Linked DNA regions of Sus scrofa. The protein of the gene in region 1 interacts with the protein of each later gene in a biochemical or structural test. Links are inferred from orthologs where the notes say so. Each region holds a gene or a part of one and is shown in the gene's direction. Other genes may lie near its edges.

Evidence for each region. The genes of interacting proteins can lie anywhere in the genome.
Region 2: the proteins of ESR1 (region 1) and GRIP1 form a complex in vitro, tested with the Homo sapiens proteins (2 studies listed by BioGRID and IntAct). The link is inferred for Sus scrofa from reciprocal best matches to the Homo sapiens genes ESR1 and GRIP1.

What each region holds. Positions count from the first base shown.
Region 1 is NC_010443.5:14,488,366-14,492,593, reverse strand, and holds the start of ESR1 (estrogen receptor), read left to right. Parts: upstream 1-1,428; coding exon 1,429-1,880; intron 1,881-4,228.
Region 2 is NC_010447.5:30,724,410-30,727,931, reverse strand, and holds part of GRIP1 (glutamate receptor-interacting protein 1), read left to right. Parts: intron 1-2,493; coding exon 2,494-2,727; intron 2,728-3,522. UniProt on the Homo sapiens protein: May play a role as a localized scaffold for the assembly of a multiprotein signaling complex and as mediator of the trafficking of its binding partners at specific subcellular location in neurons.

The sequences.
Region 1 (4,228 bases):
CAAAGGAAGTTTATTAAAAGGTATAAACTATCCAAGATTGCAGGTGCAAATATATTTACCATATCTTTTTATATATGCTTATATATACTTTACATGCTATGTAATATACATTATTATCTGTTATACACACACACATATATAATGTGCTTGAGCATGTTTAGCTTTTAATTCAGTTCAGAACTTTTTACTATTTCTTTTCCAATCTGAATATTTGATTCTGCTTATCCTAGTCCAAGTGAACCAAGAAGGTCCAATTGTAGGATAAAAGAACAGACATGTATCATTGCATTTCAAAATGTGTTTGGTGAGACCAACAGTGTAGATTTGGTTAATGAGCCGAGGTTATGCTTTTTTTCTGGAAAGGTCACATTTCATATTCAGTTTTCTGAAGTTTTGGTTGCATAATCTGTGGAAGGCATGAATACCCATGTCCGCCTAACGGGAGGTTTCTGTAAATCGTCATTCACATTAGAATTCCTGATGGGAGCAAGTACAGTACTGCGGCCAAAGACAAACAGACAAGTCGGGCTGGGGGAATCTCAGATAGTCTTGGCTGGAGGGGATGACTTTGGGAGAATTTTGCAGATGAGGAGAACTGAGCTGGGCAGCACTCCCCTGACTGCAAAACGCAGCTCTTTCTATAGTACACCTTGAGTCTCCGCCCCCTTTCCCCCAGATGCCTCTTATCTGTCCCCCGAGCTGCTAAATATAGCCGTCTGCCTATGCACCCGCACACCCCATTCTATCTGCCATATCTCGGTTACAGAGTGGTCCTCCCCAGGGTCATTCTCTGTACACACTCCGTATTTCCAGCCAACGAGGAGCGTGAATCCAACAGAGAGAGAGACAAACAGAGATAGATTGGAGCCTGGCACGGGGCACATAAGGTAGCACGTTCGAGAGAGCCGGCCCCTGGATTAGTCTTCCGAGTTTGTTTTAAACCCCGTCATCTCCGGACCACCTTTAGGAGATCCCTCTGCGCCTCCGCCCTCCTGCAGTGAAATGCAGCCTCTATCCAGCAGCGACAAGTAAAGTAAAGTTCAGGGAAGCTGCTCTTTGGGATCGCTCCAGAACGAGTTGCGCCTGGAGTGATGTTTAAGCCAACGTCAGGGCAAGGCAACAGCCCCCTGGCCGGCTTCCAGCACCTTTGTAATGCATATGAGCTCGGGAGACCGGTACTTAAAGTTGGAGACCCGGGCCCGGGAGTTGGCGGAGCGCGCTCGCGCCGGGCTGCACTTGCTCGCGTCCGGCCGCCCCGCTCCCCGGGACGGGCCGGCTCCCGGGGCAGGGCCAGAGCTCGCGTCGCGGCGGGACATGCGCCGCGCCGCCTCTAACCGCGGGCTGTGCTCTTCTTCCAGGTGGCCGGCCGGCTGCTGAGCCCTCCGCCGCGGGGGGAAACGGTTTGCGCCTTGCCCGCGGCCACTGACCATGACCATGACCCTACACACCAAAGCGTCCGGCATGGCCCTGCTGCACCAGATCCAAGCCAACGAGCTGGAGCCCCTGAACCGCCCGCAGCTCAAGATCCCCCTGGAGCGGCCCCTGGGCGAGGTGTACGTGGACAGCAGCAAGCCCGCCGTGTATAACTACCCCGAGGGCGCCGCGTACGACTTCAACGCCGCGGCCGCCGCCTCCGCGCCCGTCTACGGCCAGTCGGGCCTCGCCTACGGCCCGGGGTCGGAGGCGGCGGCGTTCGGCGCCAACGGCTTGGGGGGCTTCCAGCCGCTCAACAGCGTGTCTCCGAGCCCGCTGGTGCTGCTGCACCCGCCGCCGCAGCTCTCGCCCTTCCTGCACCCCCACGGCCAACAGGTGCCCTATTACCTGGAGAATGAGCCGAGCGGCTATGCGGTGCGCGAGGCCGGCCCTCCCGCCTTCTACAGGTACCCGCGCCGCCCGCCGCGCCACGTCGGGGTGGCCGCCGCGCACCCGGCGGCGGGAGGGAGCGGGGGGCGAGGGGCCGCGCCGCCGGGAGCTCGCGGGGCCCGCAGGCCGCGGGGCTGGGCACCCGGCAGCCCGGCCGCCGCCGGCGCCGCGGACGCGCGACCCGAGGGCTAGGGCGCGACCCGGCCCAGGGTCACGGGTGGATCTCGCGTTCGAGAGTCAAGTTCTCCGGCCTGGCAGCTTAAAAAAAAAAAAAAAAAAAAAAAAAATTTCTACTCTCCACCCCGCCTACTGTCTGCGTGAGAAGCAGGTCCGAAACCCCGTGTGCTTTCCAACTAAACCAGTATTAGAAAACCGTGCAAAGCAGAGGTTATTTGTGGGGAGAAACGCCCCAGACCAAATAAGCACAAGGTGCTTTGAGTCCCTAGAAAAGGTCCCGCTTTGGCTGTAGGTGTTGGGGCAGGCGGAGCTCAGAGTTTTCTTTTTTACATAGTCTTATTATTTTACAAATTTGTTTTAACGTGCTTGCAAAATTTCCTTTCACCTAGAATTTCGGATTGGCTATGTGCACGCTGTGCCGCTGGTGAGCTGGTGATGGTGATGAGGGGGTGCTCATTTCCTTGGGAAGCGGTTCCTAGCAGCCCTTTGCTTGTCCTCCCTGTCCCACCTCCGAGGGAGGCTGTAGGACTGACCGAGCGCTGCTCAGATGAGCAAGGGTTGAATGGGTCTCAAGGAGTTTCTGATTTCTGAGTTATCTGGCGGAGTCCGTGTCAGAGCAGCTTGCTGGCAGAAGACTTCTGACAGCCGGAGATTTATAACTGTCCTGTGAGTTAAAAACATGCCACATCGAAGCACGAGTGTTTTGAAATACTTCCCTGCCAGCTAAGTTTCATTTCTGGCCTGCGGGGCTGAGAATGCCCTGGGAGTGGTGTGTATGGGTTCAGCCCAGTTCTGTGCCTTTCATTCTCAGGAGAAGCAACAGATAGTTAGTCGTTCAGGATAGACAGGAACACTTTTGTGACTTAAGAGGCAAGTGTTTTTTGTCCTATTTTTTTCCCCCTAGTAGACCCTATACTTTCCTTTGCTCCTCTTCCTCCCATTTTCCCTTTGACAGTTTCTCCCTTCTCTTCCTGATGGACTTTGCAGAGGGTTTAGGCAGGGGGTCCTGGTGGGTACCTGCACCCTAGGTGCTGCTGGACAGGGATAGCCTGGGTGGGGTTGGGAGGCCTCCCAGCACCCTGGTGGCTGGATGCTGGGTTAGGCACTGCCTGGCTGGACACTGCTGGTGTGTGGACGTGCCCTCCACCCTCACCCAGACCCTTCTGTATTGCAAGCTGTGGGCCGTTTTTCTATTCAGCATCTATTTCCAGAGATATTTATAGCAGAAGAAACGGGAGGAAGGTGCATCGTGGCCCTAGAGAATTCTGGAGGCAGCCGCTGGGGGTATCTGAACATCTGCCACATCCTTCAGCCCCCTCAGAGGACCTTAGAATGTCACACAGCCAAGCAGGTCCATCCTGAGTTATTACTTAAAACACAAACAATGAACAAAACTTTAAAAAGTTGGCCTCTATCGAATCATTTTAACTTGTTTTCTGCAGGGTTAAAATGGAAAGAGAAAAAGAATTTATTCTGCCCGCTTTTTTTAAGTGTTAGAATCAAATATGACAATTAAATCTAATTCACACAACATTTTAAACTCCTTGATGTGAAGGAAGGCACTGATAGGACGTGAATTCCATAACCTTATGGTAGACTCCAGAAACAGTTTTCTTTTCCATTTAATTTTCAGTTCTTTTCTTGCAAATTAATGCCACTGAATTTCAATGGACACTAATGAGACTGCTTCTCAGTGGATTATTTACTGCCCTGCTAATAATTACAAAGTGAACATGGTCAAATAAAGAGGGGAATCACATTTTATTCAAAATTGTTCAGCATCCTGGTGGCAAATAATATCACTATAACATGCCCATCTTAAACTTTCTGCATTCGATGATATTCAGATATTTTTAGAATAATAAAAAAGTGATATGGAACTTTCAACTCACCCACATTGGATTCTGTGTGGAAATTCAGTTTTAGAATGATCATTCTCCTTTGTAGTTTATTTCCCATAACATCCATCCTTCCTTTCTTTTCTTTTCTTTTCTTTTCTTTCTTTGAATTCCGCCTCTTATTACCCAAGAAAGAGGGGAAGGATCTATAAAATAAGTTATTTCAAATGGAGAGATGTTACTTCATATTTTTTCCCCTCTCAGTTTTGCTGTTTGAATAACTTTTGGTAAAAAAGAAAAGAATTCATTGGACTCTTTTAGGAAACTTTAATTTTCTTCAGTACTTATCA
Region 2 (3,522 bases), on another chromosome or scaffold:
TTCAATAGGAATTCTTTTTTCTGCTTTTTTGAGTAATGAATACATACTGTCTTAACTATTTTTTGCTTAGTATAACACGGAAGAAGATTTAACTAAATGTCATGTAGAAAACTCTTAAACATACTCCTTCTAGGAGTTCCCGTCGTGGCGCAGTGGTTAACGAATCCGACTAGGAACCATGAGGTTGCGGGTTTGGTCCCTGCCCTTGCTCAGTGGGTTAAGGATCCGGCGTTGCCGTGAGCTGTGGTGTAGGTTGCAGATGTGGCTCGGATCATGCGCTGCTGTGGCTCTGGCATAGGCCGGTGGCTACAGCTCCGATTCGACCCCTAGCCTGGGAACCTCCATATGCCGTGGGAGTGGCCCAAGAAATAGCAAAAAGACAAAAAAACAAAACAAAACAAAACATACTCCTTCTAAGTTGTATGCATACCAGTTATCTCACTGATAATTTTCAAAAAGTATAGTTATGAGTTGCACAAAATGAAAACAGGTGATGCATACTCTGGAAGCAAAAATAAATCCTAGAAAACATCAAATAGTTTTTTAAACTTTTTTAAAAAGTTTAAAACCTGAAACCTCATGGTTCCTGGTCGGATTCGTTAACCACTGCGCCACAACAGGAACTCCTAAACTTTTTTATTTTAGTTTTTCTGTTTGTGTTTTAATGTCAGTATTCCTTCAGAGATGTCACTCATTCTGTTTACTTTAAACAAAGCAATCAATCCATCCTTTGAAAACTTGATCTGGAAACCTACTGATAAGATGTCCTTGCTTCCATCAGAACTCTTTCCAGATCAGCTTATATAACTCCTGTTGTGACTAAGGATTATCAAAGCAGAACTGTTGTCTCTCAGCTGTAGCAGTTCTTCTACTTCCAACGTGTTTCCTGCTAATCCCATGAAAAATGAGTATAAATTTGTTAACAAAGCCAATAACTAGTCCAAATAGGTAAAAAAAAGTGGATGGTCATCAGGGAGAGAAAACACTCATCAGATACTGTTGGCTAGAGTAGATTAAACAAAGAAATGATATATGTGAGTTAAGTACCATAAGGTAAAAGGATGCCCCATGTTACCACGAAGCTAGTAATAGAAAAGTTTCAGTTTAAAAGGGATTTATCTGAAATAAACCATAATATGAATAATCCACACTGGACAAATAAGGTGGGTTTTTTTTTTTCCATTTACTAAAAGGTCAGTTTTATATGTTACAGCCTCATATTTGACTGAGAATCAGTACAGCCTGGAAGTCGAACATAACAGTTCTGAAGACAGATTGCTGGGTTGTAATCCCAGACTCTTGGGCAAGTTGCTTCCTTTATCCAAGCATCCCTTTCCTTAACTGAAAGGAGGAGGTGTAATTATTACACCTCTTTGTGCCTCAGTTTCCTCACTTGTAAATTAGGAAGAAAATCAGCACTTGCCTCATAAAATTGGCATGATGCTTAAATAGGTGAATGCATTCAAAGAACTCAACAAATGACACTTTCATTACTTTTAGCATCAGTATTAATATAAATCACTAGATATGGTGTAGCCAGTCACGTAGGAGATGGAATTTGTTTTCTGTTCCCATGATTTCAGGCAGATTCACCGATGCTGGCATCCCATTATCTAACCATCATATCAAAGAACATGGAGCTGGCCCCAGGCATATTTTCAGAATGTTAGCATCCTCTAACCATGAGAAATGAACATCCCCAACATGATTTTAGTTTCAAATGCTCCTTCACTTCCACTTCTGATTCTCGGTCATTTTTGAGATCTGACCTTGCCATTCCTCATGTATTATGGAGGGAATATATGGAAACTGAACAAACTTCTCAATTCACTGGTAAAATCCAATCCAAGTCTCACTGCTTTTGAGCAAAGGGTTGAATCCAGTAGCATGATGAATGACTATTCCTCAAAGCAGTCTTACATAAAGGCCATTTCGAAGGAACATGGACCTGTGCCAAACGATGTGGAGACCTAGCTGATCCCCAAGCGTCTCAGGCAGGTCACGTGGTCACAGGAAGGACAATATGCCAGAGCTGGGTAGGCAGCATAGAAGAAGCTGTCACCTGTGTATCCACAGCCTCAACCCACCGAGAAGTTCTTCATTCATTTCTGTAAGCTATATTAAAGGTTGCCTCATGAACCCCATCTTTAGAGCCCACTCAGTGGAAAGTTAATGCTTAAAATGTAGTTTGTAGTAAGCAGATGTTAGAGCTTTTCAGTTTGCCTCAAACCTGCCAGGGGTGGTATTTGATTAAATAAACTCAACGGCTTAAGTACTTAAATTGGATTTGAGATGTGCCTTATAAATGTCACTTGCAAAACATTTTCTCAGACTTCCCTTGTGCAATTACTATGTCCATTCTCCAGCCTTTGGTTATGCCCTGAAGAGGCCGTATTTTGACTGGGCAGAAGGAGGAATGTGCTTAATGTTGAGCAACCGAACCCTTTTCTTAGTCCGTGGTTTAATTGTTTCTGAAAATTGTCAATGCCACAGGCAACAATCATGTCGGGGAGTACGATGAGTTTGAATCACGAGGCCCCTACACCTCGCAGTCAGCTGGGGCGACAGGCCAGCTTCCAGGAACGGAGCAGCTCACGGCCACACTATAGCCAAACCACTCGGAGCAACACTCTGCCCTCAGATGTGGGCAGGAAGTCTGTCACCCTGAGGAAAATGAAACAAGAAATAAAGGAGATCATGTCCCCAACGCCTGTGGAGCTGCACAAGGTCAGGAAGCTTTCTTTTCTTCCCTTGGGGTCACATTTCGCAGGCATTGGGCACACCGTGGGCGTCCTGGTGCAAGCCTGATCGTGACATCCTACTGTGGGCTCAGCCCAGGGGAGAGGCCAGAGCAGTAAGGCAGATCATCAGAGATACTGTTCTCAAAACAAGATCTTTGAGCGGTGATCTCATAAAATGGGAAACATGGGCTTTCAAACAGGGGGTTGATCCAAAATGTATTTCTGGCTGAAATCTTCTCACAGAAGTTTGAGGTTCCAGGGTCACACGGTGCTTTAATGAATCGATCGGTTATTCCAACTTCATTGCAAAGGGGAAGGATTTTCTAAATGTCATTCATTGCTAGCTTCAGTGAAAAGGGATTTCAGTGGTGTTGGAAGCTTAATCATCAATTACAGACTTCTCAGTAGATGGGTATATTATTCAGGGGACTTGAAGTTCCCTTGGAGACATGATTCGGATGTCTTGGGTCAGGAGAGGGTAAGCCCTGGTTATGTTCCATCTCTGCTATGATAATTGCTTCACTGTACTTCTTGGAAGAAAACCCATGATTGCAAACAGAACTGAATTTGAGTTGCTGGCAGAGTTTAATAAGGCATATGTAGGTGACAGAGTCTGTGGAAGCCTGGGCCAGGGAAAGCAGTGAAAGGGAGGTTTCTCTTGTTTTCTTTTGTCAAACTCTAATGCTTGTTGTCGCTATTAATATGTAAGGATGTACAGATAATAACAATCTCAGCCCATTTTTCTTGGGAGCCAAGACCTTCGCTGTAGTTAATAATCTGT